Mus musculus: one gene and its partners. The protein of the gene in region 1 binds, or shares a complex with, the protein of each later gene. Links are inferred from orthologs where the notes say so. Each region holds a gene or a part of one and is shown on either strand. Other genes may lie near its edges. The genes, in order: Obsl1, Ccdc8 and Myom1.

The links.
Region 2: Obsl1 (region 1) and Ccdc8 share a complex: the UniProt entries of both Homo sapiens proteins name them as parts of the 3M complex. The link is inferred for Mus musculus from reciprocal best matches to the Homo sapiens genes OBSL1 and CCDC8.
Region 3: the proteins of Obsl1 (region 1) and Myom1 are in contact, whole or in part, in a crystal structure (PDB 5FM5), measured with the Homo sapiens proteins. The link is inferred for Mus musculus from reciprocal best matches to the Homo sapiens genes OBSL1 and MYOM1. Residues at the interface, in NP_056126.1 of Homo sapiens: Pro243, Lys253, Phe255, Val257, Asn258, Gly260, Lys261, His262, Ala263, Lys264, Phe265, Arg266, Cys267, Tyr268, Val269, Met270, Gly271, Lys272, Pro273, Pro275, Trp279, Lys305, Tyr308, Tyr317, Cys319, Ala321, Arg322, Asn323, Ser324, Ala325; in NP_003794.3 of Homo sapiens: Arg616, Pro617, Ser618, Ala619, Pro620, Trp621, Thr622, Gly623, Gln624, Ile625, Ile626, Val627, Thr628, Glu629, Glu630, Glu631, Pro632.

Annotation. Positions count from the first base shown.
Region 1 is NC_000067.6:75,489,314-75,492,958, forward strand, and holds part of Obsl1 (obscurin-like protein 1), read right to left. Parts: coding exon 3,557-3,645; intron 3,481-3,556; coding exon 3,193-3,480; intron 3,030-3,192; coding exon of another isoform or gene 2,754-3,029; intron 2,145-2,753; coding exon 1,875-2,144; intron 1,756-1,874; coding exon 1,483-1,755; intron 437-1,482; coding exon 170-436; intron 1-169. UniProt on the Homo sapiens protein: Core component of the 3M complex, a complex required to regulate microtubule dynamics and genome integrity. It is unclear how the 3M complex regulates microtubules, it could act by controlling the level of a microtubule stabilizer.
Region 2 is NC_000073.6:16,992,472-16,996,216, reverse strand, and holds the start of Ccdc8 (coiled-coil domain-containing protein 8 homolog), read right to left. Parts: upstream 2,316-3,745; 5' UTR 1,630-2,315; coding exon 1-1,629. UniProt on the Homo sapiens protein: Core component of the 3M complex, a complex required to regulate microtubule dynamics and genome integrity. It is unclear how the 3M complex regulates microtubules, it could act by controlling the level of a microtubule stabilizer.
Region 3 is NC_000083.6:71,018,190-71,021,934, forward strand, and holds the start of Myom1 (myomesin-1), read left to right. Parts: upstream 1-1,367; 5' UTR 1,368-1,462; intron 1,463-3,745. UniProt on the Homo sapiens protein: Major component of the vertebrate myofibrillar M band. Binds myosin, titin, and light meromyosin. This binding is dose dependent.

The DNA of each region.
Region 1 (3,645 bases):
GATGCAGGGCTAAGGCTAAGGCTGTACTCAAGCAAAGCGGTCACTGGGGCCCACACAGATCCAAAGGGTCCAGCAATTCCCCACTCTGGCAGGGTGGTCAGTAGGGGCAACATGGTTAGGCCAGGAGTCACACACAGGGATTTAGCAGGCAGAGGCCCAGAGGCCACACCTCTCACTGTGAGCCGAGCAGCACACCGAAGGGTGTCCGCAGTGAAGGAGACACAGCCCGAGTCAGCCAGACCCAGGCCGCTTAGCACCAAGCGGTGAGTGCGGCCTTCTGATTGAATGTGGCACTTGGGCCCTGGGTGCAGCCGGACTCCACCCTGGGCCCACTCTCCGGTCACACCCTCCTGGGACAGCTCCAGCTGGAAGGTGGCACTGCCCCCCTCATGGACGGTCACATCCTCCAGAGGCCGAAGTTCCCTCAGCTGCCGAGCTAGTGTGGGGAGATGAGAGAGGGAGGACACCAGCTCTGGGCAGGGTGCAGGGGCTCACTCACTCCAGCATGCTCCACGTGCCACCCCAGCACTCCATGAAAGGCCTTGGCTATACAACTTCAGACTGGGTGGGAAGGAGGGAGGGAGAAGGACGGGTTGAGGAGTCTCAGTGTGGGGTGGGGTGACACTGGAAGGAACAATAGGCCCACTGGGATCAGAGCCTTTACTTAACATATAACTCGTCTGTGTACCAAGGGATCTTTGGCAAACTCCTCTGACTTTTTTTTTCTAAGCCCTAGTTTTCCCTATTGCACTAAACCAGTGGTTCTCAACCTTCCTAATGAAGCAACCATCTCATATAGTACCTCATTGGTGGTGACCCCCAGCCATGAAATTATTTTCATTGCTACTTCATAACTGCGATCCTGCTACGGTCATAAATTGTAATGTAAATACCCGATAGGCGGGGTATCTGATAGGGGACCCCTGTTGTTTGATTAGCAAAGGGGTCTTGACCCACAGGTTGAGAACCACCATGCTAAAGCCCAGTGCCACTCTGGGTTATACTGTGATGAACACATACCACTCGTGACAGCCAATCACCAAGGTCTGATACCTTGGCTAATTTCCTCAAAGACTCTGGACGTAGGGATCAACCCTATTTTTATGGAGATTTGTTTCAGAGAGATTGCATGAGGTCACACAGGTAGTGTGTTCCAGCATGGGGCAGTGGGTGAGAAATGCTATTAGCCAGTCATTCTTTCAAAAAATAAATACAGAGAGTTTTTCTGGAGTATAAAATTTATGCTGCTAGCAAAGCCATCTTTGAAGTAAAAAGCAGAGTCCATTTGGACTTCTGAGGGACTAGAAAACATTAGAAAAAGAGGATTTTGGTTTGAGCAGGAGCCTTCTGGCTCTAACCCCAGATTGGGACAGCCAAGGCAGACCTTCCTCAGCAGAAAGGAGCACTTTGGTGGTGGTGGCAGTGTCAGGGACTCTGGGCCAGCCAGGTGAGTGATGAAGTAGGAGAAGATTGGGCACTCACGCCTCACACTGAGCCTGGCCAGGGTGCGATCGTGGCGGCTCTCACAGCCGTAGGTGCCCTGGTCGGTAAGTAGAACGCCATGGATAGAGAGGCGGTGGACATGGCCATCCTGAGCCGTGGTCAGGCGAGAGTCCAGGGGAAGAGGTTCCCCACCTCGTATCCAGCGAACAGTTCCAGCTGCACCAACTCGGCCTGTCTCTACCTCAAGGTGCACATCCTGGCCTTCCTCGGCCCGCACATCCTGCAGCCGCCGCAAGAACAGCAGCTCTGTCTCTGGAAGGGAAGATGAGAGATCATGGAGCCCAGAGGTTGAAGGCTAGCTCACTTCTAGGCCATGGTTGTGAGGGGTTAGCTACAGGGAACAGAGCATTTTATGCTCAGTCACACTGAACCTCGAACGTGGAGCCTGGCACTTGTGTCAGCAGCTCCGGCTCGCGCGGTCACGGTCCCTGCGTCTTTGAGTTGGCAGCCTCGGATGATCAAGGTGCGGCTTGAACCATTCTGGACCATTTCCAACTGTGGCCCTGCAGTGATAACCGCTCCGTTGCGTAGCCAGGTGACTTCGGCATCTGGTGGTGAAACCTCACACTGGAATGTGGCATCGTCCCCCTCATGGACTGTCAGAGGCGTCAGTTCAGAGACCAGCTTCACTGGCGGGAGCTCTGGAAGGAGGGGTGAGGCAGTGACCTGGATACCTCTTTCTCCCTCTGTCTCTCTCCACTACCAACCCCCACCCTGATCCCCCTACAGGATGCAAGCTCTCATTCTCCCACCAATTACAACAGCTTGAGTGAGGCCCTATTGTGTGTTGGTTGTGGGGGTTCTCCCAAAGACCAGGATGCCAAATCCTGGCCACACTTAGTAAGCTCCTTGAAATCCCAGCCTGGCACCTCTTCCCAAGTCTCTAGTACCAATACATTATTTACTATGGGCCCAGTTACAACATTTAATGGTCATAGCAACCTATCTGCCATCCCATTTCAGTGCTGGGGCTCAGGGGAATAAAATGGCCTCGCAAATGTCACCCAAGTCCCAGAGAGCCAAGTCTGAGTTACACCCTGGACAAGTTGACTCTAGAGTCCTCCTTTTAATCCACTGGGCTATACATCCTGCTATGCTAGGGTGCTGGAAAAAAGGAAGATGCCCTCTTACAGTGACAGTCATGAACGCATTGGTGGGAACCATAGAGAGCAGTTGGGTGAGGTATAGGAGATGAAAAGGGTCCAGAGGATGGGAGGTTGTCTTTGTGGGTATGAGGGGTGCATGGTTACCTTCCACACTGACGATGAAGATGCGACTGTCCTGGGGTGCGTCGCACAGGTATTCCCCAGCATCCCCTCTCCGTGCCCCCCGCACCCGCAGCACCTGCCTCGCCCCGGCTTGTTCCAGCTGTACCCGCCCCTGGCTTGCCAGGCGCTCCCCGTCCTTGTACCAGCGCACAGGGGTCCCTGGCCTGGAGAGGTGCACCACCAGCTCTAGGTCCCCACCTGGGGTGCTTCGAACACTCGTCTGGGCTGCCTCGGGGGCCACTACCCGCACTGGGGGCTCTGTGGGGTCAGAGCTAGGGGTCACTGGGAGGGCAGTGAGAAGGGTGGGGAGACAAGCTGGGGGAACAGGGCAAGGGAAAGATGTTATGTCTTAGGAAAGTGGGGGAGCCCTGGATGGGGGGGAGGGGGGACTAGTAAGGCTTTCTGCCCAGGTTGTACTCACCAGCCACCTGGACATTGAAGCTGAGGCTTGGGGCCCCTGGGGATGCCCCAGATTGGCAAGTGTAGACACCTGTGTGAGCGAGGTCTGCTGCCTGGATGCAGAGGATTCTGCGAGGACCCTCAGCTCGCAGCTCTAGTCCTTCACCCTGCTGCACCGGGCTCCCATTGTGGCTCCAGAACACTTGTGCGCTTGCTCGGGACAGCTCACAGCTCAGCACCACGGGCTCCCCAGGAACCACGCAGAGCGGATTTGGGGCTGCCTCTGGAGCCAGAAACTGCACCGGAAGCTCTGCACAAAGAAAAAGGGAGTTGTAAGCCCAAGCCAGCCCCTGCCTCCCCACCCAAGGCTGGACCGGCACACCCACCAGCCAGGCTGACGTTGAAGGTGACAGCCTCATCTCGGGTCTCACATACATACTCCCCGGCATCCTCAGGCTGGGCGTGGGGCAGGGTG
Region 2 (3,745 bases), on another chromosome or scaffold:
CCTCAGATTAGCTTCAGCCTCTGCCTTTGGACTAGCTGCAGCCTCTGCCCTTGGACTAGCTTCAGCCTCTGCCCTTGGACTAGCTGCAGCCTCTGCCCTTGGACTAGCTGCAACCTCTGCTCTTGGATCAGCTGCAGCCTCTGCCCTTGGACTAGCTGCAGCCTCTGCTCTTGGATCAGCTGCAGTCTCTGCCCTTGGACTATCTACAAGCTCTGCCTTCTGGTTAGCAGCAGCCTCTGCTATTGGACTAGCTGCAGCCTCTACTCTTGGATCAGCTACAGCCTCTGCCCTTGGACTAGCTGCAGCCTCTGCTCTTGGATCAGCTGCAGTCTCTGCCCTTGGACTATCTACAAGCTCTGCCTTCTGGTTAGCAGCAGCCTCTGCTATTGGACTAGCTGCAGCCTCTGCTCTTGGATCAGCTGCAGCCTCTGCCCTTGGACTAGCTGCAGCCTCTGCCCTGGGACTAGCAACAGCCTCTGCCCTGAGACTAGCTGCAGCCTCAGTCCTTGGACTAGCTGCAGCCTCTGCCCTTGGACTAGCTGCAGCCTCTGCTCTTGGATCAGCTACAGCCTCTGCCCTTGGACTAGCTGCAGCCTCTGCTCTTGGACTAGCAACAGCCTCTACTCTTGGATCAGCTGCAGTCTCTGCCCTTGGACTAGCTGCAGCCTCTGCCCTTGGACTAGCTAGAGGCTCTGCCCTCTGGTTAGCTGCAGCCTCTGCCCCCTGGTTCTCTGCAGCCTCTGGGTGCTCCTCAGCTGGCATGCCTGTTCCCTGAGCGAAGGGTGGCACCTGCTCCTTCCTGCATCGTCTCAGGGAAACCCACTTGATCTTGGGCTTCCAGCGTCTAGTACCCAGCATCTGGTCACTCCGGTCTCCTGTGTTTCTGGAGCTATCATCGTCCGAGCTGGCTTGGCTGTGTCTCATTTCTCCAGCCCTCTCAGCTGCTGTGGAGGCCTGCTGGGTCTGGCCCACCTCGGAGCCTGATCTGGGTGCCCAGCCCTTCACCCTCTGTTTCAGCTTCCCCCAGGACACCTGGCTAACATACTCCCTCCATCTGTCGGCCTTGGATGGCTGGGGCCCCAGGTTGTTCTCAAACATGGGCACTGGAAGATTGACTCGGCGTCGTGGAGGAGGCGCGCTGGGCTTCTCCCCACGGCGGAGGAAGGCCTCCACCAGCTCCTGATCATCCTCACTCTCCACATCGCTGCCCAGGAATTTGCTGCCCAAGTAACTGACCGGCATTTTGCGCACCTTCCTGGTCCTCCCGGAGGAGCTCCTGTTGCCTTTGACTTTGGAGGTATCGAAGTCACTCAACTCACTGTCGCTGCCATTGCTGCTGTCATAGGTACCTACAACCAGCCGAAGTGGAGGAGTGACCATCTGCGGGACTCTCCTCACTCTCAGCTCCTTGGTTCTTTTGCGGGGTTGGGGTGGGTGTGGAGTGCTCTTTTCGATGATACGGGCCACATCTTCCAGGGTGCGGCCCTCCTCCTGCAAAAACTGGATTAGCCGCTCCCGAAACTCAGCTTCCTTCGTTGCAGGCTTGGAGATGACTCTCCACACGCCCCCAGCCAGGCGGACCTCCCGGGGGATGAGCAGATAGTCAACATCCTCCCCAATCTGCAGCATCCCCACCGTGGAGTCCTCTTCTTTGCGGAACACCTTTCCGATTTTCTTAAAGGTGCCCACAGGCCTTAAGGCCTCCACTAACACGTCCAGATCGACATCTTTGCAGACGTCGGGGACACTCCAGAGGATCAGGCAATCGGGAGACGGAAGGAAGCCCCAGGGGAACCATCCCCCTACGTGGCTTTTTTCGAGAGTCTTTAAGATCTCCAGCGTGGACGCTCGAGTGGGGGCAAAAAGCCCAGACACTTGGCTGCTAGTCTTGGGGAGGGGGCGGTGGACAGTCCTAGCAACTCTGCTCGCACAGAGTGTCTCCTCCCTACAATTTTCTCTTCAGGAAACAAGTCCAAGTTGGCTTCCCCAACCCCCTCGGAGTTGTAGCAAGCAGTTTTCCAGGATGCTTACATGAACTGAAGCACGCTCATTCCCGAGGCTCAAAGTTCAGTCCAAACTGGAATCGCCAGTGTCCCGGCTCCAAGTTGGGGTCCCACGAGCTCCGATCGCTTCTCCCTTGCCCCAGACACCAGGATATAGCTGAAAGTTCTTGGGAGGACTCTGCAGACAAAGACGGCTCAGCGTGGCCTTTCAATATGGCGAGGTGCTTAAAGGCCTCCGCCCAGCCCCGAGGAGGGTCTCCCGCCCCCAGGCAGTCTGCCACCCGCTCCAAACTGACCTTGCGCTCAGTCTGTGGTGGAGCTGAGAGCCGCAGGAAGTTTCTGGGCGCCCTCCCCTCCTGGGTGAGGCCCACCTTCTCCTTCTCATCTTACACTCTAAGCCTGGGAAGACTGGCAGCGGGGCTGTCCACTCCCCTTCAGGGCAGCCTCCCTCTCCTCCCCCACAGAGGTGTGGCTGCCCCCCAGAGCCTCAATGGGGCCAGGGCTTCCCTTAGCTGCAGCCAAAACCCACGTCATCATCCTTCCCAAAAGGCAACGGGTCCCCCAACCTGCCATCCTAGACGTGCAAGCCCAAAAGGTGCGAGTGCTGATGGCTCAAATCCTTTGAAGGCTATTGCAATTATGAACGTGCGTTTAAAATTAAGGGGATGGGACTAGAGGTGGCTCAATGGTTAGGAGCATGGGCTACCTTTATGTAAGACCTGGGTTTGACTCCCAGAACCAATACGATGGCTCAAAACCCTGTTTATTTCCAGTTCCAGGGGATCCAATACCCTCTTCTGATCTCTGTGAGCACTGCATATACGTGGTACACACACACACACACACACACACACACACACACACACACACACACACACAGAGAGAGAGAGAGAGAAGACATTCATGCACACAAAAAGGGGCACACAAGATAACCCAATGGGTAAAAACATTTCCCCAAAGCCTGAATTCAATCCCAGAACCCACATAAAACCAATTCTACAAAGTTATTGTTCAATCTCCACATGTGCACCCCTATACACAGATTGTACATATATTAATTCACACACGATAAACACGGGTTTTGTTTGTTTGTTTGTTTGTTTGTTTGTTTTTCGAGACAGGGTTTCTCTGTGTAGCCTTGGCTGTCCTAGAACTCACTTTGTAGACCAGGCTGGCCTCGAACTCAGAGATCCACCTGCCTCTGCCTCCCAAGTGCTGGGATTAAAGGCGTGCGCCACCATGCCCAGCCCGATAAACACGTTTTTAAAGTAAAATATTTTCTTGGAGTTGGAGAAATGGCTCCATGGTTAAAAGCACAGGCTGCTCTTTCAGAGGACCTGGGTTCAATTCCCAGCACCCACATAATGCTCATAAATGTCTGTAACCCCACCTCTAGGGGATTTAACACCCCCCCCCCACTGATATACATCAAAACACCAAAGCACATAAAATAAATATATTTTTTAAATAAAAAATTTTCTTAAAAATAAAAAAACCTTTAAGATCACAGAGATGTTGTACCCTCAGTTCTTAGTTTATGTATCCCACGTGGCCTCAAACTTTCAGGGATCCTCCTGCCTCAGCCTCTGTCTACTAGGCTTTACGTAGGCCACTATTATCAGGCTTAAGCAACAACAACAACGGCCAGGTAAGGAAGTGACTTTAATATCAATATAAGAACATATATCAGGCATGGGATGCACACTTGTGATCGCAGTAATTGAAGGCAGGGGGATGAGGAG
Region 3 (3,745 bases), on another chromosome or scaffold:
CTCACATCTGACCACCACACACTCACACATTGTGGTGGCTCCAACTGCAGGTTTGGTCATGCAGCTGGAAGGCCCCTGGGTGACATCCTCCATCTTGTGCTAACATGGCAGTACGCAGTGTGTCTCTGGTCTGCCTGCCTGTGCCATGTGCTGGAGGGTGGGTCTATCTGTCTTCTTTCTCCTGCGCTGTGCTGCCTGCATTTGAGTTGACTTGATTTTTTGAGTCCTAGGCATACAACAGCTCTGGCCACCAAGCCAGGTATCAAGCTAGAATGAACAAAGGACTGCCATCTGCTCTGGCCCTGACCGAATACCACCACCAAGGTGTCTTTTTGTCTATTGCAAGGGGGTCTAAGTAGAATTCTTGAAGCAAATAGTTTCTGAAGTTTATAGATTATAATGGATTACTTTCTGTTTATTGTTAGTGTGTTTACTGTGTGTGTTTATAAAAGAGGGAGGGAGGGAGGGAGGGAGGAAAGGACGGAGGGAGGGATGGAGGGACGGAGGGACAGAGGGAGAGAGAGAAAGAGCCACCAGCTTAGCTGAGATCCTCCTGCCTCTGTCTGTCATCTTGCTGTAGGACTCATGGAATTACCGTTTCTATGGAGTTCTGGAATTACAGATGTGCACCACTGCTGCAGGTTCTTTTCACGAGGATTTTGGGATGGAGCCCATGTGTCAGGCTGGGCCACTTCTTCATTACACCATTGGTTGGAAGCAAAGAATCAGGTAGTTAGGCTGAGCCTGCTCTTGAGTGTGGAAGGATAAGATAACGAATTCCTTTTCCTAATTTTTCTTTTCCTTTTTCTAATGAATGAGGAATTGGACAATTGCACCTGATGCTAAGATTCACTTTTCCTAAACAGAGAGGGACAGCGAGTGTCCCAAAGCCTCCGCACTAACCTTTAGTTAGCCCCAGCTTTCTCTCCCATGTTGTCTTTCAACGCTGTGCTCCATGTGTCACAAACAGCGCACACAAAGCCGCGTCTTGGCGTTAAGATTCCATGAGGTCCATTTTGAGGATCGGATTCCTACACCTGTTTTTAGCTCTGAACACAAGCCCTGTATGTTTAAATACAAAGCAGTAAAGATATATCGGACACAGTCCGTAGAATCCTCTATTTAAGTCGGTCCTCCATTTGGTTTAATCAGGCCGTACTCATTGAGCCATTAACCTAATCCTACTGCTCCTGCAGCTTCCTGCCATGCTCTTCTCTGGGTTTGGGACTCCCCTCCCCATGTGCTGCTATATTTATCTGCCTTCCTGGCCATAAAAGGCTGGCTGTGGGGCCCTGACATTCTGCTGCCTGACCACATGCATTATTTTTGAACTGGCCCCCAGAATCCAGCCTCTAGCCCTGCCTCTTAACTTTTTCTTGGATTCAACCTAGGTGGGCCCTCATTCTCTCCTGCTCCTCGACTGCGGCAGGGCAGTGGGCCGTAACCCCCACCCCAGAAACCGGTAAGTGACATGGAGGTGGCAAATGTACTCAGGAGTTTCAGTCTGCCTTCTCGCCTCAGCAGGGGAGTGACAGGAGCTCCTGGAAGGGGAGACGGGAGCAGTAAGGTACCTGCCTGGGCTGGTGGCTGTTTTTGCCGTATTCTTTTGAAAACAAGAATATGCCTCTGTTTCTGGAACTGCAAGCTCACATTTGTCTCATATCCAATGCAAGTATTTTCTCAGGGAAAGGAGCAGTGAAGTATTTACAGAGCTCCTTGAGTGCAAATTAAGCTAGAAGGATACAAATTCTCTTCAGAGCCACTAATTCATGATCCGGTGACATAGCTCCAAGGGAAGAGAGGGATGGGGGAGGGAAGAAGCGAGAGGATGAACTCTGCCATGAGAGAGCAGTGTGGACGACCTCTCTCTCAGGAGCATTGTGATATTTCTGACTTGAAAATGACTGGGTAACACAGAGGTGGCAGACCTGGCACCGTGACCCTGGAGCGATTGCCTTCTGTAATTAATTTCCATCAGCTTTTGGCCTCTGCTGCCCGCATCAGAATATTACAGCACGGTTACAATTTTGGAGGTAGTATTTCTTCTTAACCGTCGAGATTATTTTTAGAAATAAAAGTTAGTTTTCAGAAGCACAGAAGACAAAAAAATAAAAAAGTCTTTATTTCTAACAAATCCTGGCAGTTGTGTGTTGGGCTAAGCCTGGCTCACTGGCTGGTTATACTTTGGTCACTGCTATACTTTGGTTCAGCACTGGTGGCTTAACCAATGTACTAAGTAGTAGATGTTAATCACGTAAGTATTCTTGGGACAGATAATGAAGAATGGAAAATGGAGTTGGGACAAGACACTTAAACCATCTGTTTTGTGAGAATGATAGCATTTTGAACCATCTGGGTAGCAATGTTAGTTTATAATATAACACAGCAAAGGAGCTTTTATTATTTGTAAGTCACTTTGATGACATCATTACAGAGACTTACCTAACACTTCATAATACAGTGTATTCTAACCCTTTTATACTATAAACGCCACCCAAAAGTTATCCATTAAGTATAGTTCTGCATATTTAGTAACAGAAAAGGCAATCTATTTAAGGATTTAAGGAAGCACAGTTGCTTGCTGGTAGCTATTTTTTTTTTCTCTCTCTTAGAAAATGTCATGTAGACTGGTATTTCCCATGAGACTTCAGATACATATTTCAGGAGTGAAGTTTGTTGGCTTTTCTTCTCTAAAGAGAACACACTGACTTTTTAAGCAGCTTAAATAAAACTTAGTTTTAAATATGACAAAAATTTAAAAGGATTTACTCCTCAGTTAGGAATTTTAAGCAAAACAAGGTTAGGAAAAGAAAAACCTTTGCTTGAAAACAATTTTGTTATATAGTTTTGAAAATAATAATATTATACATGGGAGGTTTTTTTAAAAAACCTAGGAGAGGTGTCTATAAAATTATGACTTGCTCCAGTTTGCCATGTGGCTGGTAGTCTTTCGGTGAACACATGATTTACACATGAAGTAAATGCAAGGCCTCCGTAAGCAAAGGCACTTCCTGCTAAGCCTGGTGGCCTGAATTCTGTCCCCTGAGCCCTCACGGAAGGAGAGAACGGGTGCTGAGAAGTTGTCCTCTGTGCTCCGTGTACATGCTGTGACACACATGCACCCCCTAGACGCACAAAATCAATTACCTGATAGATAGATATGAAATGCCAGAGCCACACCGAGCTCAGATTCTTTATATTCCTATATGGATTCTCCCATATTTCTATATGGAATAAATACTGTTCTGCCTTTTTGTAATGTGTGCACAATTTGAAAGAACTCCCAATTATAGAAGTTATCAGACCGTGAGGTTCAGCTTTTCTGTGCGCAGTCACTCACATCCGTCTCCTGCCGCCTGGGAAAGGGTGGCACCGTGAGGTCTTAGCTGATCTGAGGCTTGCACAAACCAGGCTGGCCTCAAATTCACAGAGACCCACCTGTCTCTCTCTGCCTCCAGAGCACTGGGATTGAAGGTGTGCACCACCGCCCAGAGAGCTTTCTGCTTTCCAGCTTCACCTATGTGCAGTTGCCTCCAAGATCCAGATATCCATCCCGTACCTTGAACTTTAAAGTCACACATCCGACTTCCTACTTAAAACCTCAGCTGGATAGTGTAGCAGGTTCCTCAGATGGAGAATATCTCAGGCTGGTTTTGAGTTTTTTTCTTCCCATCCTTAGATGATATTTTCTTCTCTTCCTCATCTCGGATAATGGCAGCCTCAGTCTTCTAGCTAGCCAGGCAAA